Linked DNA regions of Macaca fascicularis. The protein of the gene in region 1 purifies or fractionates together with the protein of each later gene. This does not show direct contact. Links are inferred from orthologs where the notes say so. Each region holds a gene or a part of one and is shown in the gene's direction. Other genes may lie near its edges.

Region 1 (4,275 bases):
AAAGTGGACAAACAAGATGTGGCTAAGAAAACAAGCGACACATGAAGTTCATCTGTAGCATAGGTGCATAAGAAAACTTTGCTGCTGTTTAAGGTTAGAAAGGAAGGTTGGTTTCCAGTAAAATGCATTAACTTTGGCTCAAACCAAGATGATGGGTAGTGGGCATGGGGGTGGGGAGGCAGTTGAAGATCCACTGAGCTCTTGGGGCAGCCCTGCTCATCGTCCTACTTTACCTTCCACCACGGTGCTCAAGCCCACACTGAGAGAGAAATTTCCAGTTGCAAAAGGGAGAAGAGAAACGCTGGAATACTAGCATCGGACGTTAGGACATAGATGTGGTGGTTTTAAAAATCATTTCATCATCTGGAGTTTGACCCCGAGGGGAGTCTTTTCACTCTTCAGCCCTCTGAAAGCATTCACTAGCATCTGAATATTGTTCTGAGTTTGTTGGAGCAGTGAAATCTGGTGAGAGAGAAGGGTGGAGGAAGGAAGGAGCTGTTGTATTTGGCGGCTGGAGTCAGGTAGAGGAAACTGCTACAATCCCGGGAAAGAACAGAAAAGTAGAAAGAGAGGAGTTCCCACACGCAGCCAATGTCCATGGCCTTAACTGTGCTTGGGAAACAAGATCCTGGGCCAGGGGCGTACCCTCGTTTTTCAAAACTAAATGTGTCTGAGACAGCTACAAAGTGTATTAAGGGACTTGAGAGACTACTTGAGTTTTTTTTTAATCTTGAGTTCCTTTCTTATTTTCATTGAGGGAGAGCTTGAGTTCATGATAAGTGCCGCGTCTACTCCTGGCTAATTTCTGAAAGAAAGACGTTCGCCTTGGCTTCTTTCCTAGGCCCCCAGCCTCCCCAGGGATGGCACAAACTTCTGGGTTAAGGCTGAGCCAACCATTGCCCACCGCCTCCACCCACCCCCAGCTAAGGCACGCCGGCAGGGGGGGCGCCCAGCCCCCCAGCAAACGCTCCGCGGCCTCCCCCGCAGACCGCGAGGTGGGGGCCATCGGGGAGGGCCGAGCTGGGGGCAGCTCGCCACCCCGGCTCCAAGCGAGCTGCCGGCGATCTTCGCGGTCCTCTGGTCCAGGCCCCGGCTTCCCCCGCGAGGAGCGGGAGGGAGGTCGGGGCTTAGGCGCCTTTGCGCACCCGCCAGTGCAGCGCCGGGCCCCGAACCCCAGGCCCCGCCCCAGGTTCCCGGCCGTTTGGCTAGTTTGTTTGTCTTAATTTTAATTTCTCCGAGGCCAGCCAGAGCAGGTTTGTTGGCAGCACTACCCCTCCAGCAGTCACGCGACCAGCCAATCTCCCGGCGGCGCTCGGGGAGGCGGCGCGCTCGGGAACGCGGGGAGGCGGCGGAACCGAGCCGGGGCCACCTTAAGGCCGCGCTCGCCAGCCTCGGCGGGGCGGCTCCCGGCGCCGCAACCAATGGATCTCCTCCTCTGTTTAAATAGACTCGCCGTGTCAATCATTTTCTTCTTCGTCAGCCTCCCTTCCACCGCCATATTGGGCCACTAAAAAAAGGGGGCTCGTCTTTTCGGGGTGTTTTTCTCCCCCTCCCCTGTCCCCGCTTGCTCACGGTTCCGCGACTCCGACGCCGGCAAGGTTTGGAGAGCGGCTGGGTTTGCGGGACCTGCGGGCTTGTACCCGCCCGGACTCGGACGGGCTTTGCCACCCTCTCCGCTTGCCTGGACCCCTCCCCTCCCCGCCCTCTCGCTCGCCGGTCCATTTGATCAGCGGAGATTCTCGGCGGCCGTGCCGGGGCTTCCCCGCAGCCCCTGCGCGCTCCTAGAGTTCGGGCCGTGGCTTGTCCGGATCTGTGTCTTTTGGCTCCGAGGCCAGTCGCTGGGCTTCCGAGAGGGGTTCGGGCTGCGTAGGGGCGTTTTGTTTTGTTCGGTTTTGTTTTGTTTTGTTTTTTTGAGAGTGCGAGAGAGGCGGTCGTGCAGACCCGGGAGAAAGATGTCAAACGTGCGAGTGTCTAACGGGAGCCCTAGCCTAGAGCGGATGGACGCCAGGCAGGCGGAGCACCCCAAGCCTTCGGCCTGCAGGAACCTCTTCGGCCCGGTGGACCACGAAGAGTTAACCCGGGACTTGGAGAAGCACTGCAGAGACATGGAAGAAGCGAGCCAGCGCAAGTGGAATTTCGATTTTCAGAATCACAGACCCCTAGAGGGCAAGTACGAGTGGCAAGAGGTGGAGAAGGGCAGCTTGCCTGAGTTCTACTATAGACCCCCGCGGGCCCCCAAAGGCGCCTGCAAGGTGCCGGCGCAGGAGAGCCAGGATGTCAGCGGGAGCCGCCCGGCGGCGCCTTTAATTGGGGCTCCGGCTAACCCTGAGGACACGCATTTGGTAGACCCAAAGACTGATCCGTCGGACAGCCAGACCGGGTTAGCGGAGCAGTGCGCAGGAATAAGGAAGCGACCTGCAACCGACGGTAATGACCCCTTCCCAACCGACGGTAATGACCCCTTCCCAACCACAGAAAGTCTGTGTCTGGGGCCCCGCTTTGCCTGCTGGAGGGTGCTAACCTTAGCTTGCTTTTCGGCGTATTCTGATGTAGCTTTGGGAGAGCGAACTTTATTGGTCTTAGGTGTTCAGTGCTACCTGGCCCACTGCTTGTCTGTGACTTTTAAGTCAGAAACTGGAAATGGTAAGATCCGATAATTTCCCTAACTTAAGACATGGCCGTCCCTCCCACTAGCAACCCCTAGGTATGTGACAAAGTTGGGATGTTTATCAACGGTCCGCCTCCTGGCTAGGGAGAGAGCTCTGGGGCGGAGAATGCACTTTCTTCTTTTTGAAAACAACCTCATTTTGTGTCCTTAAAGGCTACTGAGGATGACGGATCCTGGATTGTGGGTGGAGGGAGTGGGTTTTTCGTCCCGCGACTATTGGGCCAACTTCTGCCAGCCATTGTTTTTTCTAATAAAGATTGTGTGTTCTTTTTAAAAATTTCCTCTGCTCTTAGATTCTTCCACTCAAAACAAAAGAGCCAACAGAACAGAAGAAAATGTTTCAGACGGTTCCCCAAATGCCGGTTCTGTGGAGCAGACACCCAAGAAGCCTGGCCTCAGAAGACGTCAAACGTAAACAGCTAGGTGGGTTGATCACTAAAGGAGCACGTACTGAAACCCGGGGCCATCAGACCTCACGATACCTGATCTTGCTGGTTGCTGGCAGATTACAATCTTTTGGGGTTTTGTTTTGTTTATACTTTCGTGAGGTCAAAAAAGTAGCAATGGGAAGGTTGGGGATACTGTAATTCTTCTATGCCTAGAGATACTTTCTCTTGAAACAGTAGACCAGAGCAACTACTTGTAACCAAGGCCCCATCGGGTAAGAAGGTCATTTCCCTGTGAGTCCCACTAAAATATGTTGGGAACAATAGGTTCTTCGCCCATCCGAACAAGAACTGGGGTACTCCCTCAGTCCCACTTCATGAGAATTCATTTCCCAGAGGTTCAGCTTGAGTCAGTAACAGATTTTGAGCCATACATGGAAAAATGGCAAGTACATTATTAAGTTTCAATTTTAAGGGGGAATGTTTGGTAGAAATTGCTCACCTTTGGTTATGCAAGGGATTAGAGATGTCAGTGGGTGGTATGTTGTGTTCTTTGACATTGTCATAAACTGTCACTTTCCTTGTTTGCTCCTAAGTTTGGAGAGAGAAGGAACCAGTATTTGCAAAAACCAAAATGGAAAGATAAAAAACATTACTAAAGTTTCTACAGAATTTCTGGTAACACTGAAGTTGCAAAGCAGAAGTTAAATTAACTCTCGTCAGTAAGCAATCCAGGAACACGTCAGCCAGTGTATGCTAATTGTGCCGTAACAGGGTGATTTGGATATTTGTAGGGGAAATGGGTAGTAAATATCAAGACTGGTGACCGCAGGTCAGCCCAGCACAAAGGAAGTGGAGATTTTTCCATGCACAAGAATCTGATCACTGTAAATAGCTAATTTGAATAATTCAGTCCCCAAATGTACATGGATTGGCTATTCATAATGATCGAACTACATATATTAATAGTTTGTTAGCTTCTTATAGACCAAGACTGACCTCTTTATTTTCTAAAGCACACACGTAGCTTAGCATATGAGGCGATCTTAATATTGATGTTAACTTTTTAAATCCTCATTTATAAAAAATTTTAAAACAACAGGGATTACGGTGGGATTCAGGTGTGTTGTGTCTTTAAATTGTATATGTGACTTTACATATCTTATATTTTTCAGAGCTTATACAAAACGGCACTATAGAACCTCTATTTTATAGCACCAT
Region 2 (2,160 bases), on another chromosome or scaffold:
GGTGCCTGCTCCATGTCCGGGGATGAGCTTACAGAGCTGCTGGCAGGGATCACTGGCACTGAAGTGGTGAGTGCTGGGCAGCTGGGCAGCAGCCTCTCCATTCATATAGTGCTATGCCCTGAGCCTCCAGTAGAGGGAAACCTCCAACCCCAACCTGGTCCTGAGTCCTGGTTTCACAACCTTGGGGCTTTGTGGCTTTTTATCTCCTGCCTTGGTCTGGAGAAGAGCAAGTATCTTGGGTGGGGTGAAGGGCACTGGCCCTAGGGGCTCTTTTCTTGCCAAGTGGTGTGCTGGAGTGGGGGTGGGGGATTCGGTGTCAGATGCAGGGCTGCTCTCACACTCCCTTGCCACATCCTCTTGCTAGTTTCTGAGAACTGAAGAGCGATTCCTGGGGCTGGGCTGTGGCCTAACCTCCCCAGACTTCCCCATGTGTTGGGAGCTGTCCTTCCCCTGCACCTGCTGCCAGATGCTATGGGGGGGAGTGTTCAGTCCTCACTGTTCTCCCATGTTCCCAGGACTGCCTGCGGGCCTGTCAGGAGCAGATCGAAGCTGCACTCAGGGAGAGCCTCAGGGAAGCCGCCCAGACCAGCTCCAGCCCAGCGCCCAAAGCCCCCCGGGGCTCCAGCAGCCAAGGGCCCAGCCAGACCAGCACTCCTACAGATGTCACAGCCATACACCTGTAGCCCTGGAGAGGCCCTCTGGAGTGGCCACTAAGCAGAGGAGGGGCCGCTGCCACCCACCTCCCTGCCTCCAGGAACAAACCACACCACATCTGAAGCCTGAAGGGGCGTCTGTTCCCCCTTCACAAAGCCCAAGGGGTCTGGTCCTACCCATCCCCGCAGTGTGCACTAAGGGGCCTGGCCAGCCACGTCTGCATTTCGGTGGGTAGTCAAGCTCCTCCTCCCTGCATCTGACCAGCAGCGCCTTTCCCAACTCTAGCTGGGGGTGGGGCAGGCTGATGGGACAGAATTGGATACATAACGCCAGCATTCCTTTTGAGCGCCCCCCACCCCTGGGGGCTGTTTTCAACTGCCAAAATGCTCTAGTGCCTTCTAAAGGTGTTGCCCCTTCTAGGGTTATTGCATTTGGATTGGGGTCCCTCTGAAATTTCATGCATGATAGACACATATGAGGGGGAATAGTCTAGATGACTCCTCAGTACTTTGGAGGCCCCTATATAATCCGTGCTGACAGCTGCTCCTAGAGGGAGGGGCCTAGGCCTCAGCCAGAGAAGCTATAAATTCCTCTTTGCTTTGTTTTCTGCTCAGCTTCTGTGTGATTGACAGCTTTGCTGCTGAAGGCTCATTTTAATTTATTAATTGCTTTGAGCACAACTGTAAGAGGACATAACGGGGTCCTGGCCATCCCACAAGTGGTGGTAACCCTGGTGGTTGCTATTTTCCTCCCTTCTGCTACTGGCAAAAGGATCATTGTGGCCGAGGAGCTGCTACAGCCTGGGGTGGGGTCATGCCCTCCTCTCCTGTTGTCCCTCTGCCCCATCCTCCAGCAGAGAAAATGCAACAGGGATGCCCTGGAGGTGGCTGAGCCCCTGTCTAGAGAGGGAGGAAGCCCTGTTGACACAGGTCTTTCCTAAGGCCACAAGGTTTAGGCTGGTGGCCCAGGACCATCATCCTACTGTAATAAAGATTGTGAAATAAAACTGGCTTTGGCTTCTTGGATTGGTGTGTGGGTTAAGTCTATTTCTGGACTGTATGAGGTAAGGAGGCGGAAGCCAGTGGTCTAAAGCAGGGATCATTGAGCCTTTTCTGTAAAGGGCTGGATAGTTAGGCTTTGCGGGCTATATGGTCTCTGACCCAAATATAATCAGTTCTCTTTATAATGTGACCTATGTGTTCCTGAAAATCACTATGCCATGCAATTTGCACAATAAAAACCACAGGTCTCATGGGAAAAATGGGGCTTGAAGCACAACACTCAAATGAGTGACACATGTTAAAAAAAGGATAGCTTGGTTTTTACATGTCAAATGGTTGAGAAATACATAAATATTACAATAAATACGGCCTTTTATCTTGAAGACATGCACTTTGCTTTTGGAAGTGGATGTTGGAAGGGTTGCTCAACACAGGTGGGCAGCTAAGTGAGGTAGCTGGTACATGTTCAAGTGTGAGTTTTGTGTACTAGTTAGGCTTGGTTCAG
Region 3 (3,500 bases), on another chromosome or scaffold:
TTTTTCTAGTCCATGAGTATACTAAAGGTACAGCTTATACAAAACATGTAGTGTATTATGATTGGCCTTAATAAGGAATTTAATGGAATCAGACACTTAAACTCACCAATCCCCCTTTCCCTGGACTCTGTCCCACCTTACCCACCCCATAGGTGATCCTGCTATAGATGATCTATTTAGAGGTGATTGAGACTTCTTGACTGTGATCACATGCTTTACGTATTTAAATTTTTGTATTGCTCTTGAGAAAACTTTTCTTTTTCACTTTTAATTGCATTTATTTTAACGCTGAATTTACTTCTGTGCCGTAAGTTTTTGTTTCTTCTGGGATATCTTTTTCTTCTGGGCAACCTCCTCTTCTGGTGTAAGAACAATTTGTTCCTTTTCACTAAAGATCATTTCGATGCGGCAGGGAGAGATCATGTATGAGTTAATCCATGAGCTCTGTAGGTCCGCTGGCAAATCGTAGGTACTTTGTTCACTTGGAGATGCTCAATGACCGGAGACTCTACATCTAAACTCTTAAGTTCAGCATTACTCTCTGCATTTTTAAGCATGTGCGGCAAACATTCAGCACTCTTTGGACCACCAACCTTGTGTCCAGTCCCACTGCTTGGCCTCAGCACACCTACCAACTCCACCATTGTAATGTCAGAATGGTACATGCTGTTTCTGTAAAGTGACATTTTAAAAATACTTCATGGTGTTTCTTTTTTTTTTTTGGAGACGGAGCTTTGCTGTTGTTGCCCAGGCTGGACTGCAATGGTGTGATCTCGCTACCTCCACCTCCCAGGTTCAAGTGATTCTCCTGCCTCAGCCTCCTGAGTAGCTGGGATTACAGGCATGCCACCACACCCAGCTAATTTTTTGTGTTTTTAGTAGAGATGGCGTTTCACCATGTTGGCCAGGCTGGTCTCAAACTCTTGACCTTAGGTGATCCACCCACCTCGGCCTCCCAAAGTGCAGGGATTACAGGTGTGAGCCACCATGCCTGGCCACTTCGTGGTTTTTCATATATGCATACCCTTGATAGCCTGGGCAGTTTCACGAGTGTTCTTACAGTGAACACAAAGATTTGAACCTCTTAAGTTGCATGATTTTTTGGGGTTTTCCAGGTCAAGTGAATAGCCAACCATTTTCACAGATTACCTCAGACCACTTAGGGGAAAAGCAACATGGTTATCTTTTATCAGCAACCTTTGTAAAGTATAAATAAGTGGGGCCGGGCGCGGTGACTCAAGCCTGTAATCCCAGCACTTTGGGAGGCCGAGACGGGCGGATCACGAGGCCAGGAGATCGAGACCATCCTGGCTAACACGGTGAAACCCCGTCTCTACTAAAAAATACAAAAAACTAGCCGGGCGCGGTGGCAGGCGCCTGTAGTCCCAACTACTCGGGAGGCTGAGGCAGGAGAATGGCGTGAACCCGGGAGGCGGAGCTTGCAGTGAGCTGAGATCCGGCCACTGCACTCCAGCCTGGGCGGCAGAGCGAGACTCCGTCTCAAAAAAAAAAAAAAAAAAAAAAATATAAATAAGTGGGACTAGAAAGCACTCCCTTTGCAAGTTTGGATGATCATAGTCCAGGTTCCCACTGTTATTTCAGGCTTCTATTTATTCATGCAAAGGAAATGGTTTCCAAAAATTAAGGTAGAAGGTTTTTTTCTAATTTACTCTAAGAGCTTCTTCCAAGTTCTAATTAAAAGTTGCATTTCAGGCCGGGCACGGTGGCTCAAGCCTGTAATCCCAGCACTTTGGGAGGCAGATCACAAGGTCAGGAGATCGAGACCATCCTGGCTAATACGTTGAAACCCCGTCTCTACTAAAAAAAAATACAAAAAGCTAGCCGGGTGAGGTGGCAGGCGCCTGTAGTCCCAGCTATTCGGGAGGCTGAGGCAGGAGAATGGCGTAAGCCCGGGAGGCGGAGCTTGCAGTGAGCTGAGATCCAGCCACTGCACTCCAGCCTGGGCAACAGAGCAAGACTCCGTCTCCAAAAAAAAAAAAAAGTTGCATTTCAGTGTCTGAAAGTTGAATTTTATCTATGTGAAACAGAATTTGTATATTACATGGATTGCACAATTTAAATTATGGTTTTTAGCTGGGCATGGTGGGTCACACCTGTAATCCCAGCACTTTTGAGTGGCTGAGGCAGGTGGATCACTTGAGGTCAGGAGTTTGAGACCAGCCCAGCCAACATGGTGAAACCCCATCTCTACTAAAAATACAAAAACTAGCCAGGCTTGGTGGCAGGCACCTATAACTCCCAGATACTTGGGAGGCTGAGGCACAACAATCACTCGAACCCGGGAGGTGGAGATTACAGTGAGCCAAGATTGTGCCGCTGCACTCTAGCCTGGGCCACAGAGTGAGACTCTGTCTCAAAAAAAAAAAAATTTATGTTTTTTTCCCTCTCTTTCCATAGCTGGGGATGTTCAAAAGAAGTCTGGCTAAACATGTTAAAAAAGGAGAGCAGATATGTTCATGAAAAACATCTTGAAGTTCTGCATTCTGACTTGGAACCACAGATGAGGTCCATACTTCTAGACTGGCTTTTAGAGGTATGTTACACCAATACAAATTTCCTTTGTCTCTGTATGATGGAAAATATTTAGCTGTAAATATGCTTTCCATGTACTCTCCAGAGTTTATTGTTCATCCCCAGGAAGCTGTCTTCTTTGAGGTACTTACTGTAGTTGATGGTACCCAAAGTGGAAAGTGACTCTATAAAATGACAAACCTACTACATATAACTAAACTCAATCCAGAATTCCTGTTATCTGTGGGTACTGCTATGTACCAGCCACTTTCTAGGTGCCACAGATACTCAAGGTGAATGGAATGTATAGTTGATTAGGTTTTGAATTATGCTATACAAAGTGAAGAACTAGAACTAGGCTTCAGGGCCCTCTGAAGTCTTTTTCTGTATTAACAAAATCAACTGATGATGAGGAATCCTGATTTCTATATCCTAAACCGTAATGAGATTATGGATACCTGGAAGCTCTAAGCCCTCTATAGTCCAGGTACCTTCTCTTTATTATATTCTTCTATTCTTTTCTGAAATATACCATTAATTTGAAGGAATAGTGATCCTGAAGCCCCTATAGATTTGTGCCAGAATTTTCTCTCTTATTTAGGTCCATTCCCTTTCTCTGGATAATAGCTTTAAAAAAGTCTCTAAAATTATTATTGAGGAAATGATTACTTATGTTGATGACAAACTGATTTTTCCCCCAACTCTTGGATATTTACTCTGTAGTCTGTCTTTAAGACAGAGATGAAGCATTCTAAGGGAAAAAGACCATAGACTTTTTGGAGGAGTAGCACATGGCAGAATAGATCTCAGAAGCTATCAGAACAGTTTTTAAGACTATACCATGTTGTCCTTTTGCATCAGGTCATCTTTTTCCTTATTTTGACTAGAAGGAAAGATTGTATTTTAATTGTGAGCACAAGAAGGCATTGGGTTTTGACTTTTTCTGAGTGTCTAGTGATCATGGAATC
Region 4 (3,500 bases), on another chromosome or scaffold:
GCTTGCCACCTGCTAGGCACCCAGCAGGAGGCATTGGTGGAAGGAGAGGTGGAGGATTTGAGTAACAAGATTACCTGAAGTAGGGGTGGAAATGAGACTGAAATTAGGGACACATTCTAATTTAGGTATGGACAGTTTGGGAACAGAGACTGCTGCTACTGCAAATATTTCCCTTTCCCTCCTTTCACCTTCTACCTCAGTAGCCCAGCCAAACTGCCCAAACCACTTGACTAGGACCAGGAGCTTCTTAAGTGCAAGCATCAGCTCATTCACCTTGGTAGCCCTACACTTGAGCTGTCAGCCTGGAACAGAGTTTAGTGACTCACACTGAATCTAAGGGTCCCCTGAGAGAGCTACTGCTAGCCTTGTGGCACCTTGTTATTAATTAGAAGGAAGATATCCCTGCCTCTGAGTGGTGTAACCTTGGGGCAGGGTAAGAAGTTGCGGTGAAGACTCCAACTGTAGCACTAAGTTTGCTAGCACTGGAAGAATTACTAAATAAAGTTATATGCATACTTTAATGGCTTACAGAGAAATCCTGGGCAGGAAACAGCCCATAGGCACCCAAAAGGGTCTTCTCCTGAGGGGCATTTTATACATTAGGGATATATGTGAGTACTGTCTCCATATTATTTAGTGTCCCTTTAAATAAATACTCATTCCCATTCTAGATGTGCTTAACATGACAGTGAATAAAGGGATAACTCTGTAAGTACATTATCTACATTGATGTGTTGTATATCAACCAATTATTTTTTTCTTTATTACAGAAGTGTTTGACATTTAACCCAGCCAAAAGAATATCAGCCTACAGTGCCCTGTCTCACCCATACTTCCAGGACCTGGAGAGGTGCAAAGAAAACCTGGATTCCCACCTGCCGCCCAGCCAGAACACCTCGGAGCTGAATACAGCCTGAGGCCTCAGCAGCTGCCTTAAGCTGATCCTGCGGAGAACACCCTTGGTGGCTCAAGGGTCCCCCTTAGCAAGCCCTGCAGAGCTGTGGAGGATTGCCTGTCTGGAGGCCTTCCAGCTGCCGTCTTCTGGACAGGCTCTGCTTCTCCAAGGAAACCGCCAGTTTACTGTTTTGAAATCAATGCAAGAGTGATTGCAGCTTTATGTTCGTTTGTTTGTTTGTTTGTCTGTTTGTTTCAAGAACCTGGAAAAATTCCAGAAGAAGAGAAGCTGCTGACCAATTGTGCTGCCATTTCATTTTTCTAACCTTGAATGCTGCCAGTGTGGAGTGGGTAATCCAGGCACAGCTGAGTTATGATGTAATCTCTCTGCAGCTGCCGGGCCTGATTTGGTACTTTTGAGTATGTGTGCGTGTGTGTGTGTGTGTGTGTGTGTGTGAGAGAGAGATTCTGTGATCTCTTAAAGTGTTACTTTTTGTAAACGGCAAGAACGATTCAGTTTTAAAGACTCAAGGTGATCGATAAATAACAGGCATTTGTTCACTGAAGGTGATCCACCAAAATGGTCTTCTCAAATTAGACAGTTAACCCTAGAAAGTTAACCCCATGTCCTCAGCATTTCTTTTCTGGCCAAAAGCAGTAAATTTGCTAGCAGTAAAAGGTGAAGTTTTATACACACAGCAAAAAGGAGAAAAAAATTCTAGTATATTTTAAGAGATGTGCATGCATTCTATTTAGTCTTCAAAACGCTGAATTTACTTGTTGTAAGTCTATTTTAACCTGTATGATATCATGCTTTATCATTTCTTTTGGAAAATACCCTGTAAGCTTTTTATTACTTGCCATAGATTTAGGGAGTGTATCTCAGATAGATTTAAAAAAAAAAAATAGAAAGCCTTTATTTCCTGGTTTGAAATTCCTTTATTCCCTTTTTTTTTGTTGTTGTTGTTGTTGTTTGTTGTTACTTCGTTTTTGTTTTTAGGAATTTATCAGAAACTCTTTCCTGTTTTGGTTTGGAGAGTAGTTCTCTCTCTAACTAGAGACAGGAGTGGCCTTGAAATTTTCCTCATCTATTACACTGTATTTTCTGCCACACACTGCCTTGTTGGCAAAGTATCCATCTTGTCTATCTCCCAGCACTTCTGAAATATATTGCTACCATTGTATAACTAATAACAGATTGCTTAAGCTTTTCCCATGCACCACCTGTTTGCTTGCTTTCAATGAACCTTTCATAAATTCGCAGTCTCAGATTATGGTTTATGGCCTCAATTCTGCAAACCTAACAGGGTCCCATATGTTCTCACTCTAATGCAGTCCTTCTACCTGGTGTTCACTTTTGTTACCTAAATAATGAGTAGGATCTTGTTTTGTTTTATCACCAGCACACAGATTGCTATAAACTATTGCTTTGTGTTTTACATTTTTATAGAAGATATTGTCAGTGTCTTTATCTGAGGGTATGTCTTTAGCTATGTTTTAGGGCTATACATTTACTCTATCAAATGATCTTTTCTCCATCCCCCAGGCTGTGCTTGTTTCTAGTGCCTTGTGCTCACTCCTGCTCTCTACAGAGCCAGCCTGGCCTGGGCATTGTAAACAGCTTTTCCTTTTTCTCTTACTGTTTTCTCTACAGTCCTTTATATTTCATACCATCTCTGCCTTATAAGTGGTTTAGTGCTCAGTTGGCTGTAGTAACCAGAGGACACAGAAAGTATCTTTTGGAAAGTTTAGCCACCTGTGCTTTCTGACTCATAGTGCATGCAACAGTTAGATCATGCAACAGTTAGATCATGTTTAGAGTTAGGATTTTCAAAGAATGGAGGTTGCTGCACTCAGAAAATAATTCAGATGATGTTTATGCATTATCAAGTTGTACTGAATTCTTTGCAGCTTATTATGATATATGACTATCTTGAACAAGAGAAGAAACTAGGAGATGTTTCTCCTGAAGAGCTTTTGGGGTTGGGAACTATTCTTTTTTAATTGCTGTACTAAACATTGTTCTAATTCAGTAGCTTGAGGAACAGGAACATTGTTTTCTAGAGCAAGATAATAAAGAAGATGGGCCATACGAATGTTTTCTACTTTCCTTGTGACAACATTGATTACGTGTTGTCAGTACTATAAATGCTTGAGATATAATGAATCCATAGCATTCAAGGTCAGGTCTACTCAAAGTCTCACATAGAAAAGTGAGTTCTGCCTTTCCTTTGATCAAGGGTCAAAATACAAAGACATTTTTGCTGGGGCCTAGAAATTGAGTTTAAAAACTCATGCACTGATTCATCATGAGCTTTTTGGTTAGTATTCATGGCTAGAGTGAACATAACTTTAGTTTTTGCTGTTGTAAAACTGTTTTCATAAGTTCACTCAAGAAAAATGCAGCTTTTCTGAACTGGAATTTTTCAGCATTCTTTAGAATTTTAAATGAGTAGAGAGCTCAACTTTTATTTCTAGCATGTGCTTTTGACTCATTTCTAGGCAGTGCTTGTAAAGAAAAATTGAAGCACAAACATTCTGGCATTCAATCGTTGGCAAATTATCTTCTGATGACACAGAATGAAAGGACATCTCAGCCTCTCTGA
Region 5 (4,001 bases), on another chromosome or scaffold:
GTCTGTACCACCACGCCCAGCTAATTTTTGTATTTTTAATAGAGATGGGTTTTTACCATGTTGGCCAGGCTAATCTTGAACTCCTAACCTCAAGTGATTCATCCGCCTCGGCCTCCCAAAGTGCTGGGATTACAGGTGTGAGCCACTGCGCCCGGCCGTTTTTCTGACTTTTTAATGATGGCCATTTTTGCAGGAGTAACGTGGTATCTCCCTGTGGTATTAACTTGCATTTCTTTGATGATCAGTGATGTTGAGCATTTTTTCATGTATTTGTTGGCCATTTGAATATCTCTTTTGAGAAATATTTATTCATGTCCTTTGCCCATTTTTTGATGGCATTATTTTTTTTTCTTGCTGATTTGAGTTCCTTGTAGATTGTGGATACTTGTCTTTTTTCCGATGCATAGTTTGCAAATATTTTCTCTTATTCTGTGGTTGTCTGTTTCTTTCTTTTGCGGTGCAGAAGCTTTTTAGTTTAATTAGGTCCCATTGATGTATTTTTGTTTTTGCTGCATTTGCTTTTGGGGTCTTAGTCATGAATTCTCTGCTTGGGCTGATTGTTAGACGAATATTTATTGAGCACCAACCATATATGACAAACGATGTACTAGGCGCTGGGAATACAATGGAGAACTTACATGAATCACCAATCACACAAATCTCTTTTTATCTTTTTTTTTTTTTTTTTGCCTTACTTGAGAATTTGGGTTTTTGAGTAAACGCCATTATTCCCTTTTTTTGTTTTAGCACACTTTTATGTCTCAACCACCTAACGCACTGCTGCCCTGAGCAACCCGGAGGGGCCGGTTCCTGCACTCCGGCCAACACAACCTAAACCCCAACACGCCGAGGACGAATAAAGGCCAACCAACTTCCGCCCACCCAGTACAAACGTTGACAGACATTTGTAGATGAGGCCTTGTCAAAATTCAGAGGTATCCTACGTCTGCTTTCCCAATGAGACAGTTCCTTTTTGTTTGTCTCAGAGACTGGGATTTTTTTTTTTTTTTTTTAAAGACTGTAGGCAAAAAAAACACCCCAACCGGCTGTTGGGACAATCAAACGGGTCTAAGAAAATTCAGCCAATGAGAGTGCGAGAGTGCCTCTGTGTTGGCCAATGAGAAGAGCGCGCCGTGCGCAGGGCCGCCCAATGGGGCGCAAGCGACGCGGTATTTGAATCCTGGAACAAGGCTACAGCGTCGAAGATCCCCAGCGCTGCGGGCCCGGAGAGCAGCCCTAACGGCGCCTCGTACGCTAGTGCCCTCCCTTTTCAGTCCGTGTCCCTCCCTGGGCCGGGCTGGCACTCTTGCTTTCCCCGTCCCTCATGGCGCTGCTCCGACGCCCGACGGTGAGTGTGTTCGGCGACCGCTGTCGGAGGCGAGTCCGTTGGCCCCACAGCTCCCCTGTCGCTTCTCTCATTTGCTCCGAGCTTCTCCGTCCCAACTTAGACTGCTTTTCTCTTCTCCGGAGCTCCCCGCTTCGCCCACGTCCCTGGCCCTGCGGCGGGTCGTCTCCTGCCGGCCTCTCCCCGTCTGGATTCCGCTCTCCCTGTGCCCCTCCCTGCTCCGGGGTGGGAGAAGTGTAGGAAAGCGCTTCCGAGATGGCACCTGTCAAGCGAGCCCCCAGAGCACTGGGCCTAGTACTCAGCGAGCGATCCCCAAGTGCTCTTCATTGCCAGAGAGTTATCTCCTTACACGTTCCTGGGATTTCCCTCCCCCTTTCTTAACAACTCCTTGCCAACTAAGGGATCTGTGGTGGGGGCTGGGAGGAGGACTGGAAGGGTTCTGTAGGCAGTAAAGTGTGCGTGTTTCATCAGGCAACTGCCAGGCTGTTTTTCTGATTGTTCACATTTCTTTTTGTATGACTTTCCCATTTATTGCTGCACGCTAAGTCTTCCAGGCTACGTTCACTAATACATGGGTTTGTCCCCTTAAAAAATTTATTTACTCAAATGTAATAGAGATTTTTGAATATAGTTTGGACCAACGTGGCAGACTGAGAGAAAAGGGTCCAAATTCATTTATTTCATCCTTGCAGAGATCAAAGTGTTACGATGTTTTGGGTATTTTTCCTGTGGGCTTGAATTGTGCCGGGACCTACTTTTTTCCTTTGCTGAAAGCTAGAGGGCCCTGACACACCTGAGTTCCATCATCTTGGCTATAAGGTTAGATAAAAGCTGCCAATTTTCCTATCCAGATGAATTTAAATTTAGTCACATTAGCTGGCTTCTATCCATAAGCATTACATTTTCAAACACTTTTTTCAGATTGGTAGTTGCTGCTGGAAAAAATTGAACAGCCCGACTTTTGAGAATCCTAATAGATTGAACATATTCAGCATCTAATTAATATCCTTTTGTGGATCTAAGTCCAACTGACAAGTAATTTTTTATAATAATGTATTCTATAACGTTATTTAATAGTCAGAACCTTTCTGTTCAGGGAAGGCTTGAGTTTCCCTTGTCCCTCTATCCTGGTAGATCCACTCAGACCCCTTGTTGGGAGTTTTATTAGAGTCAGGACCCTGAACTCTGAGGGATAGGACATGCTGGTTTTTTGTTTTTTTCTTTTTTAATGAAATGTTTATCTCTTCTATAATAAGCTTTTTTTGGTATGAATTGCTTTTCCTAGCAAGTTTTATTTCTAAGCACATTATGTCTAAAGCAGGTTAAAGTCAACTGACAATTTTTATTTCATACAATTCCCACCTTCCCTGAGTTTGGGAGCTAAAACTGTATTATCCAAGGAAACTATTTCCATTCTAAATATCCTTAATATAAGAGAAAATCCATTCTATGGCAGCCTCATTTTAAAAAGCTGCACTTCTAAAAGATCATGCATACAGGAGCATTTCTTATTTGTAAAATGGCATAAGAATCAAAGCTAGTTTAGGTTTTAAACATCTGGTTTTTAAACAACCAGACCTATTATTAACTATTAATATTATAGCTTTATAATTTTTCATCTTAATTTACGTATTACCAAGCTCTGTAAAGGAAGGTTTTTAAGTATATGCCTTTAACTTGCAGGGATCTCTACCAAGTGATATGGGTACTATGATAAATAATCATTAAATAGTAATAAGCTTTGAAGTTCTCTTACAGGCCCACTTGAATATTCAGAATAGTTTTGCAAGGTTAGTGGGAGGATCTTTATTACAGATAAAGTAGATGGGTGATTTGCCTAATTTAGAGTGATGTTATTAATCACGAATAGCCTTTTTTTAGACTTCCTGAAATGTACCTTTTCCATCTTGCAAATAGATCTTGACGTATTGTCCTTTCCCAAAGCAATTCTAAATTTGAGTATCTAACATTAGCAAAGTATTTCAAATTCTTTCAAGGTTTCATTACCTTTTTTTTTTTTTTTTTTTTTTTCAGGTGTCCAGTGATTTGGAGAATATTGACACAGGATTTAATTCTAAAGTTAAGAGTCATGTGACTATTAGGCGAACTGTTTTAGAAGAAATTGGAAATAAAGTTACAACCAGAGCAGCACAAGTAGCTAAGGTAACAATGATGAAGACTGAATGTGAATACAGAGGCCGATTCTGTATAGTGCTGAGTCTCACAACACTGGCTGTCTTGCCCTATTCATGTTTCTTTTTCCTTATAGAAAGCTCAGAACACCAAAGTACCAGTTCAACCCACCAAAACAACAAATGTCAACAAACAACTGAAACCTACTGCTTCTGTCAAACCAGTACAGATGGAAATGTTGGCCCCAAAGGTAGGAAGTTCTGAATTTACAAACATATTTAATGAGGTAGCCTGTTTTTAGCCAGACTACAAGGGTGCCGTTATCATTGCTGCACCTTTTAACGAACATTCATAGCTAGAACTCTCCTTTGAAGCAACAGTGTAGGAAATGAGTATATACACCTTTTAAATGATGGTACTTAATTTAACATTATGACCTTGAAGCTGGGCATGGTGGCTTATGCCTGTAATCTCAGCACTTTGAGAGGCTGAGGCAGGAGGGTCACCTGAGGCCAGGAGTTCA
Region 6 (4,247 bases), on another chromosome or scaffold:
TGCATCTAAACATTGAGTTGTTGGGTTTTTCTTTATTGGAGGGGGAGTTAGAATAAGTGGTGCTTTGAAGTTAGTCATAGTCCATCGTGAACGAACATTTGCTAAAGAAAATTGTATTACTTCAATAAACCATTTATCTACCTCTTGGTGGCACAAAGGGCCTAGTAAATTTTGGTGGGCTATTTGCTCTTAAGCAAAGAACAATCTGTAAAGCTGATTTGGAGGACGCTTGGGAACAAACAAGAGACGCAACCACGTGAAAGACAACGTGCATGTGACTTTCACAGAAAATACTATTTGGTGATGATTTAGTATGTGAAGTGCCGCTAGGGTGAAAGGAAAATCTGAGTGTTGCAGATCAAGGGCACCAGGTGGGACGCAGTTGGCATGCAAGCTCACCCAGCCAAAACATGCGCTGTCAAACCAATAACCTGGGATTACAATGTTTTGGCTTTCAGGAAAGGTTGGTTGTCGAAGCGGCCAAATTCCAGCCTGGGGAGGCAGAGTTGAAATTTTAAGACTTTCCCAAGAAGTATTTCGATATATTTTCCGAGACCCTGAGAAGATCACGAGGCGCCAAGAATGCACGCCCTGCGCCTCACCCCAACCTCTCTCTCAGCTACCTGGCCCAACCCAGGCCTCTAAAATGGATTAGAGGTCTGGGGCCTACAATTGGCCTCGGAAGTGTTCCTTTCCCTCCTTTCTCCACCCCTCCGAGAGTTCAAAACAACTGGGTGTGCCATCCCTTTTCCGAACGCATCCCCCATCTGAGGGGCGGATCCTAATTCCCGCGGGCTCAGGCCCCCGCAGGTTGGCGGGAGCCGGTGGGGGCGGGCCGGCCGAGTCCGGGAAGCAGATCGAACACCGCCGCGCGCCGCGATCAAACTCGCGCCGCCACTAGCTCACGAGCTGCGCCCCACCCTCTCCGTCACCGAAGGCGCCCAGCCAATGAGCGGGCGGGAAAGGCCGGGCCTGCGAACTAGGCACTGGGAGGGTGAGGGCCGCAGGGGGAAGGGAAGTCGAGAGCTCGAGGGCGGGCTGCACTTGATTGACAGCTCGTTCGAACGAATCCTCCACGCGGCTTTCCTTCGCTCTCTTTTCTACTTAGCCCTGCTCTTCGTCCCACCTCCTCCTCCTCCACCCCTCTCCTCTTGCCTTTCGACCCTCCCCACTTCCCCTCCCCCACTCTGCGGGCAAATCGCTGCTGAAAAGAGGCGGGGGCCGAAGCGGCGGGCTCGTGTGGAGCCTTGAGGTGGGATTGACTGGCGCTCAGGCCAATGAGAGATAGGCTCATGGCGCGGCTGTAGCTGGAACTGACCAATAGGAGGGCGGGCTGGGGGCGGAGGCCCAGGTTCCAAACGCTCCGCGGCGCCATGGGCTGAAAACTCAACCGAGATGGAATCTCCCAGTCTGAACCGGTTTCAACCGGTTCCGAGTTTGAGGCACTAGGAGGAGGGGGAGAAGCGGCTGCAGCGGCCGCGGCAGGAGCAGCGGGAGCTACAGCATCAGCAAGAGCAACAGTAGCTACAGCCCCGGCGGCGGTGCCTGTTCCAGTCTTTGCTGCTGCAGTCCGTGCAACCACCCAGAGGGGGAGGGGGGAACCACCAGTCGCTGAGGAGCAAGAGAAGGGGGGAAAGTTTAGGCGAGCCTGGGGGGGGCCCAGCGCCGGAGCCGCGTGAGAGAGGGAGCCGTGTTTTGGTAGGGGGGAGTCGGACTGCAACTGGCAGCAGAGCGTCCCCCCGGCCGTGTGGACTCTACACCCCCTACTCCTGCCGCTTCTGCTGCTGCCTGTGGCTGGAGGGTCCCCCTGGGGCTGAATCTTTGGGACTTGACCCGGTTCCCTCCCCCTTCCCTCACTCCCCAGCCGGGCGGGAGCATTTATTCCCCAGATTAATTCCCCTTCTTTTTTGGGGGGCGGGTGGGTGTGTGTGTTGGGGGGAAGCGTCCCTGAAATAGTAAATATTATTGAGCTCTTTTTGCCCTTTTCCTCTCCGTTTTTTTAATTTCTTTTTTTAAGGTGGGAAAACTGTGAAACCCACCTTGATTCGTCCCCTCTCCCCCTCCCCACCTTCCCTGGCCCTAATCCCCCGACAAGGAAGGAAGGAGCAGTTGGTTCAATCTCTGGGTAAGTCGACTGTGTCTTTGGGGCCGAGGGTCGGGCGGCGGCGCGGCCGGGCGGGAGGAGGCCAGCGTGGGGCGCGGCGGTCGCGGGAAGCGAGCCCAGGAGGCGGCGGGCGGGCCGGGGGCGCGCCGGGCCCACAGCGGAGCCTGCGATTGAATGGAGCCGCTTTTGCCGCTGGGGGATGGAGGCGGGGAGGCGGCCGCGGGAGGGGAGCGCTTGCTGGGTCATTCGCGTGTGCGGGTGGCGGTGGAGGAAGGCGAGGAGCGTGATAGTGAAACGGGGCCCCGCGCGGGGTGGAAGGGCTTCCCCAGCCCCACGGGCTGGGGAGAAGTTGGGGTGATTTCAGGAACATCTCTGTAAATTATTAGGAGTGGAAGTTTCCAGAAATATTTAGTGCAGCAGCATTGAAACGTCCGCCTGCATCACGTGGCCCCCTCGGTGGAGAGCTTGGGATGGGGGAGGGAGGGGCTGCCGACTCCCTGTTCCTCCAGCAAGGAAACTCGAAAGCTCTCCGGTTTTTTGCAGAGTGGCATGTGAAGTAGGAAAGATGAATTTTTCAGGGGCCTGCACATGGGATTCCGTCTTGTAGTTCCTTTTCAGGGGTTTGTGTGTGATAAGTTGGTTAAACCATTTACTGCTGGCCTCGTACAGTGGAGGATGCCCTGATTCTCCTTCATTCCGATGTCTGAGTTTGGGTTGGGTGGGAGGAAGTGGTGTAGTAGAGGAAGCATTCATTACTGGCTCAGCCCGGACCTCCTCTGATCACGCCGAGGCCATGCTGCATAGAGAAAGGGGCGTTGAACTTAAGGCGCCTGGTCTAAATGCCTCCTCCGAGTATGGGCGGGGTGAGTGCGTGCTCCCGTGTGCTATAGTTAGAAGGGCTGCAAATCGGTTCGGGTGGGAAGCCAGGGGAGGGCGGGCCCTAGTGAGGTGTGTTTCTCCTGAATGAAGCAGGCGGTTGCCCACACACCTAAGGAGCAGTCAGTCTTTCGCCTTGTAGCGACTTGTTTTTTTTTTTCACCTAGTGTGAAGTTATTAAGCAACGGTTATGATTTCCTGGGTTTTGGATAGGAACTGGCATTGGGGGTCACTTGTAGAGTCACAACATTATCCATTAAGCTGGATAATCCCTAGTGTATGTTATCCAGTGAGTGGATTTTAGGATTGAAGAGCCCAACGGGAATGAGCGTTCGTGGTTACACCTCTCCCTCTTTGACTTGTTTGCTGTCTGATTGTATATCTTAAGTGTGGGACGCTGCTGTTAGTGGAAAGAATGTTTTGGAAGCGGCTTGGTTTGGGGGACTAAATGTGCTTGGCATTGACCACAAAGCCGCCATTTCTGTACTATGTACAGTTCAAGAATAGGTAGGTCATTTCGAAGACAGCCGCTAGTTCTAAGGATGGCAAACTACTGTATTTAAATCCTTCTATTCTAAATCTCGTTTTTCACATCAGTCTAGTTCGGAGAATTCTATAAGGACAGTGTATTTGAAAGTGAAACTTGGAAGAGTCATTTTCTTAATCCTTTTTTGTTTTGGCATTAAACTATTGTAGGAGTAAATAGGTGAAAAGTTTGTTCGATAATTAACCGAAATATTTGAAAACTTCTGATACGTAGATCTTGATGCTTTGTGGACATTGCTTTTAAGCCTCAAATAATTAAGATTGTTCTGATCTTTTAAATTTTATAGTAGTTGAAGGTGGAGAGTTTACACATTCATTTGTGGAATATATATTTCCTCTCAGTTTTTAGATCTTAAGGGTTTTTTTTGTGGTGTGTAACAAGTATCCTGCTGTTTAAAAAAGTTTGTTTAATGCCTACTACAAAATATTTTGAAGTCTCATCAGTTTTGTCAATAATGGACCAATTCTTGAACTCCTAATTTCTTGAGTTTCACATTATTTTTACATCATGTCAGTCATAGGTGACTCATTTTTTGGAGTTCTAATCTGTTGTAACAGACGTTATATTTAAATGAGACATTTGCATTAAAATTGAAATTGCTGCCATTATTATGGACATTTTTAAGCTGTTATAAAATAGCCAGGAATTAACGCCTTTTTTCCCCCCTGCCAAGCTAGTTTGTCCAAATACAGTGTAAAGAAATTAGCTACTCATTTTCTG
Region 7 (4,109 bases), on another chromosome or scaffold:
TCGGCCTTCCAAAGTGCTGGGATTACAGGCATGAGCCACCGCGCCCGGCCAGCTCATATTTTAATTTGATTTTTGTTCTTTTCTTCTTGCTTGCTCTATCAGAACTCTCATTCTCTTAGTATATCTAAACGAAGAGCAAAATTAAAAGATACCCCTAGGTAGAAACTGACCAAGACTAGCATTGATAGCTTCTCTCCTTCAGCTTGTTCTATGCAACTTTCCTGCCAGTGTTTGCTTATTAATGTCAATGAAGCTCCTCTTGGGGTATTTCAGACATTTTCTTCTCATTCAGTTTTCTGAAACTGTATATGAAATATCCCAACACATACATAACATACATAAGGGAATAGTGTAAAGACACCTACTGCGGACATATTTTACCTTTTTGATTGATAGAAAATTTGGATTATATTTTATGACATATCCATGGTTGTTTTAATATAAAAGCACTATTTTAGGTTACGCTATTAGCATTGAGTAAAACTTATCTTCTGGAATATGTGCCACAGTTATTTTGTGTTCTGGTACATTCCACCCAAGTCTAGCCCCAACACTCAAATTTGAAGCAGAATTCTTAGCCACGGTACTATACCACTGATAAGTCCACACTAGAATTTGAGAAGCCTGACTACTGTTTAGTTTCTTCTATCTGGATTTAAGGCTGCTCTTACTTTTAAAAAAAATTTGCAGATGAAGCCTCCAGCTGTCTCCCAGATGAGGTGGGCAGGAAAGAGCAGAAAGTTCTTACTCAAGTCTCAAGACTCAATTTATCACCTATTCCTCTTTCTATGGAGTTTATAACCCGCACCCCAAGTACATAATTGCCTTCAATTTGGCAGGACTTTAGGATCTAGGAAGAAAGATGGGATGAGAGGAGCAATTTGATAAGTATAATTTTCTCTGCCTAGTTCTTCAAAATGTAGCCCTGTACTATCTAATGTGGTAGCCACTGGCCACTTGTGGCTATTAAACACTTGAAACTGAATAATTTAATTTTTACTTTAAAAACTGAAGGAGCATATTTTTCTCTTACAAATTGCTTCATTTTTTAAAATAGGACTGCATTTCACTTTTACTGTTGAAAAATTAGTATCAGAACTGGGATTTGTATGTAAGCATATTCATCTAAAGTAACAACAACAAAAAAAAGAATTGAGATATGCTTTAAGAGGAAAACATGCAGCAGATTTCAAAGACAGAATGTGAACTATCTCATTGGTTTTTATATTGATTACATGTTAAAATGGTATTTTGGACATATTGGGTTACATAAACTTTATTATTAAAAGTTATTTTATCTGTTTTGTAAGGTGGCTCTAAAAATACAAAATTACATATGCGGCTTACATTATATTTTGGACAGTGCTGCTCTAACCTTACTATATTTTCCAGTCCTTCCTTCAGCAGGGAAATTTCTGAGGGTCAGGAAGGGGAATCTATACCTCACTCCTTGAACACCAAGGGAGGCATGGCTGCCTGAGTCACTGTGAGGTTGCATTCAGAGGTTCTCAGTAGGGTCCTAGAGTAGTTTCCTGTGTTGCCTATTCATACCTCCATTTCCCATTACCCTAGAAATATTTGACCACAAAAATAATACTAAGTGTAGTAATTATGTGAACTATTCACCACCAAAGAAGGTGATGATTACATATATTATTAAATATTGATAGATTAACTTTGTCTCAGATTTTATTAGATTATAACAACATACATTCATATACACTTATAATCAGTCACTCAAATAGCTTTGTCATACACTTACAACTTTAAAAATTAGAACAGGCCAGTCAGTCATGGTGGCTCAAGCCTGTAATTCCCGCACTTTGGGAGGCTGAGGCAAGAGGATGGCTTGAGCTCAGCAGTTTGAGACCAGCCTGGGCAACATAGTAAGACCGCATCTCTACAAAAATTTAAAAAATTTGCCAGGTGTGGTGTCATAAACCTGTGGTCCCAGCTACAATAGAGGCTAAGGTGGGAGGATCACTTGAGCCCAGGAGGTCGAGGCTGCAGTGAGCTGTAATCATGCCAGCATACTCCAGTCTGGGTGACCGAGCAAGACCCTGTCTCAAACACACACACATACACGAGAAAAAAAGGAAAACAGAAAAGTAAGTAAAATAAAAATTAGACCAATTTTTGAAAGGCCTTCAAAGCTCATCTGCATTTTGCTAGAATTGCTTTCAGCTTTTCAATAAATACCAATAAATGCTTATTGAATAAGTGAATTTTATAATATATCAAGGAATTTACCAATAAAGAGATATGGGGTTTTGTGTGTGTGTAGGTGTGGGGGGGTGTGCTTTGTAATACAATTGAATTGATATTGATAATAAGTTCTGGAAATAGTTTTCCTTGTTTATAAAAATTTTGAGGTAGCATATAACAACCATATAATAAAATTATGTCAATTCAAGCAGAATAGAAAAAATTAGCAGGAAAAAAGAAGACCACAAATAAATTATGAAGTCAGCATCATTTCTATAATTAACTTTCAAATTTGGTCAAGTTCTGTAGCCAAAGCAAAATGGCATACAGTATCTTATTATTTGGGAAGAGGATGTCTATCTGTTACCCAAAGGAAGCATAGCTTTTCCTAGCACTGAATTTCAAAAGCAATTTTTAATGGGAGTCACTGTCACAAATAACATTTTAATGACAAGTTCAGTAACATTTTATATGACTGCATATGGTAGTATCATCCAGTTGTTTTTATATGAAATGAATGTGTGTGATGAATAATTGTATGTTTTATTTTTACAGGAATATTGGGAAACCAAAATGAGGCACAATCAGATGTGTTGTGAGACACCACCTACTGTTACTGTTTATGTAAAATCAGGGTCAAATAGATCACATCAGCCTAAAAAGCCCATTACTATGAAGCGTCCTATTTTTAAAGATAATTGGCAAACATTTGAAAAAAATACACATAATAACAACAAATCTAAACGCCCCAAAGGACCTTGTCTGGTTATACAGCGTCAGGATATGACTGCTTTCTTTAAATTATTTGGTAGGTTTAAAATATTGTAATAGTGGTAATTATAAAGTACTAAAAACCTAGAATGTAAACATCTAATTGTTTTCATGCTAATCAAAGAGGATATCATTATTTTTGTATTAAATTTCCCATCTCCAACCAAATTTGTTTTTGTTTTACTTAGTCTTTTTTTTTTTTTTCAATGTTGGGTTTTTGTTTGTTTTGTTTCCTTACGGATTAAAAATTCATACTCATCTAGCTTCTAGACTACTTAAATCCAAATGTCAAATGTAAATTCTGGGCAATTCAACTTCATAGCCCATGGCATGAGTTTTGTTTGACCTAAAGTTAAATACTACATAAAGAATCAGGTGAGCTAACTGACCCAGTTTGACTGGGCCTAAGGGGTTTCCCAGGACTTTCTCTGCTAAACCCAAGAAAAATAGGAAGCTTGGTCCCACTAGAGAAGTTTCAGGATAACAGTTTGGGAACATTGTTAAAAATTAACTATGTTTTATCATGTCCATATAATGAAACTGAGTTTAAATTTGTTTAGGTTATGAGACAGTGCTACTTTGCTGATACATTTCTTAACACTGGCAAAAAGAAACTTCTTTATAGTACTGTACTCCTAACTAGGAAAGAGAGGGAATCTTTTTTTTTTTTTTTTTTTTTTTTTTTTTTGGAGGTAGGGTAATAAGGTAAACAGATTAGAAAAAAGGGTAGAATAGATGAGTTCTGAAAAATATCTGGAGTAATGAATCAAGTCAAGTAGAGGCTACAGTCCGGTAGATCTAGGTAACAAGCTTCCTTGTTTCTAGAGGAAGGTCAGGTGCATTAAAGCAAGCTAGTTACGATTTAAAGAAAAGCAAAATGAAAAGATGAAAAAGGAAAAAAATGTAAGGAATATAAGTAGAAAAAGATATAAAGATGCTTCCCCATCAGGATTTAGAATGTTAATAAAAGTTCCCTTTCTTTTCATTAAGAGCAGAACAAAATTATTACCTGCAAACTTTTTTAGTACCAAAACTCATCATGAGAAACGGGAAAATACCTGGCTGTACCATTTTAAGTAACTTAAGAACTATAAATAGAGGCTGGGTGCAGTGGCGCATGCCTGTATTCCCAG

What was found.
Region 2: the proteins of CDKN1B (region 1) and CCND3 purify together in Homo sapiens (affinity purification with western blotting; 9 studies listed by BioGRID and IntAct, counting the BioPlex papers as one, with this or other methods). This does not show direct contact. The link is inferred for Macaca fascicularis from reciprocal best matches to the Homo sapiens genes CDKN1B and CCND3.
Region 3: the proteins of CDKN1B (region 1) and CCNE2 purify together in Homo sapiens (co-immunoprecipitation; 5 studies listed by BioGRID and IntAct, with this or other methods). This does not show direct contact. The link is inferred for Macaca fascicularis from reciprocal best matches to the Homo sapiens genes CDKN1B and CCNE2.
Region 4: the proteins of CDKN1B (region 1) and CDK6 purify together in Homo sapiens (affinity purification with western blotting; 8 studies listed by BioGRID and IntAct, counting the BioPlex papers as one, with this or other methods). This does not show direct contact. The link is inferred for Macaca fascicularis from reciprocal best matches to the Homo sapiens genes CDKN1B and CDK6.
Region 5: the proteins of CDKN1B (region 1) and CCNB2 purify together in Homo sapiens (affinity purification with mass spectrometry; 3 studies listed by BioGRID and IntAct, with this or other methods). This does not show direct contact. The link is inferred for Macaca fascicularis from reciprocal best matches to the Homo sapiens genes CDKN1B and CCNB2.
Region 6: the proteins of CDKN1B (region 1) and XPO1 purify together in Homo sapiens (affinity purification with western blotting; 4 studies listed by BioGRID). This does not show direct contact. The link is inferred for Macaca fascicularis from reciprocal best matches to the Homo sapiens genes CDKN1B and XPO1.
Region 7: the proteins of CDKN1B (region 1) and SPDYA purify together in Homo sapiens (affinity purification with western blotting; 3 studies listed by BioGRID). This does not show direct contact. The link is inferred for Macaca fascicularis from reciprocal best matches to the Homo sapiens genes CDKN1B and SPDYA.

The regions. Positions count from the first base shown.
Region 1 is NC_088385.1:15,479,739-15,484,013, forward strand, and holds the start of CDKN1B (cyclin-dependent kinase inhibitor 1B), read left to right. Parts: upstream 1-1,475; 5' UTR 1,476-1,952; coding exon 1,953-2,451; intron 2,452-2,961; coding exon 2,962-3,083; 3' UTR 3,084-3,091; intron 3,092-4,275. UniProt on the Homo sapiens protein: Important regulator of cell cycle progression. Inhibits the kinase activity of CDK2 bound to cyclin A, but has little inhibitory activity on CDK2 bound to SPDYA. Involved in G1 arrest. Potent inhibitor of cyclin E- and cyclin A-CDK2 complexes.
Region 2 is NC_088378.1:129,633,430-129,635,589, forward strand, and holds the end of CCND3 (G1/S-specific cyclin-D3), read left to right. Parts: coding exon 1-66; intron 67-515; coding exon 516-683; coding exon of another isoform or gene 684-889; 3' UTR 890-1,660; downstream 1,661-2,160. UniProt on the Homo sapiens protein: Regulatory component of the cyclin D3-CDK4 (DC) complex that phosphorylates and inhibits members of the retinoblastoma (RB) protein family including RB1 and regulates the cell-cycle during G(1)/S transition.
Region 3 is NC_088382.1:104,539,987-104,543,486, reverse strand, and holds part of CCNE2 (G1/S-specific cyclin-E2), read left to right. Parts: intron 1-2,418; coding exon 2,419-2,554; intron 2,555-3,500. UniProt on the Homo sapiens protein: Essential for the control of the cell cycle at the late G1 and early S phase.
Region 4 is NC_088377.1:128,738,348-128,741,847, forward strand, and holds part of CDK6 (cyclin-dependent kinase 6), read left to right. Parts: intron 1-770; coding exon 771-917; 3' UTR 918-3,500. UniProt on the Homo sapiens protein: Serine/threonine-protein kinase involved in the control of the cell cycle and differentiation; promotes G1/S transition. Phosphorylates pRB/RB1 and NPM1.
Region 5 is NC_088381.1:35,579,157-35,583,157, forward strand, and holds the start of CCNB2 (G2/mitotic-specific cyclin-B2), read left to right. Parts: upstream 1-1,201; 5' UTR 1,202-1,324; coding exon 1,325-1,348; intron 1,349-3,379; coding exon 3,380-3,508; intron 3,509-3,614; coding exon 3,615-3,728; intron 3,729-4,001. UniProt on the Homo sapiens protein: Essential for the control of the cell cycle at the G2/M (mitosis) transition.
Region 6 is NC_088387.1:60,385,458-60,389,704, forward strand, and holds the start of XPO1 (exportin-1), read left to right. Parts: upstream 1-1,447; 5' UTR 1,448-2,125; intron 2,126-4,247. UniProt on the Homo sapiens protein: Mediates the nuclear export of cellular proteins (cargos) bearing a leucine-rich nuclear export signal (NES) and of RNAs.
Region 7 is NC_088387.1:93,404,336-93,408,444, reverse strand, and holds the start of SPDYA (speedy protein A), read left to right. Parts: upstream 1-1,309; 5' UTR 1,310-2,778; coding exon 2,779-3,013; intron 3,014-4,109. UniProt on the Homo sapiens protein: Regulates the G1/S phase transition of the cell cycle by binding and activating CDK1 and CDK2.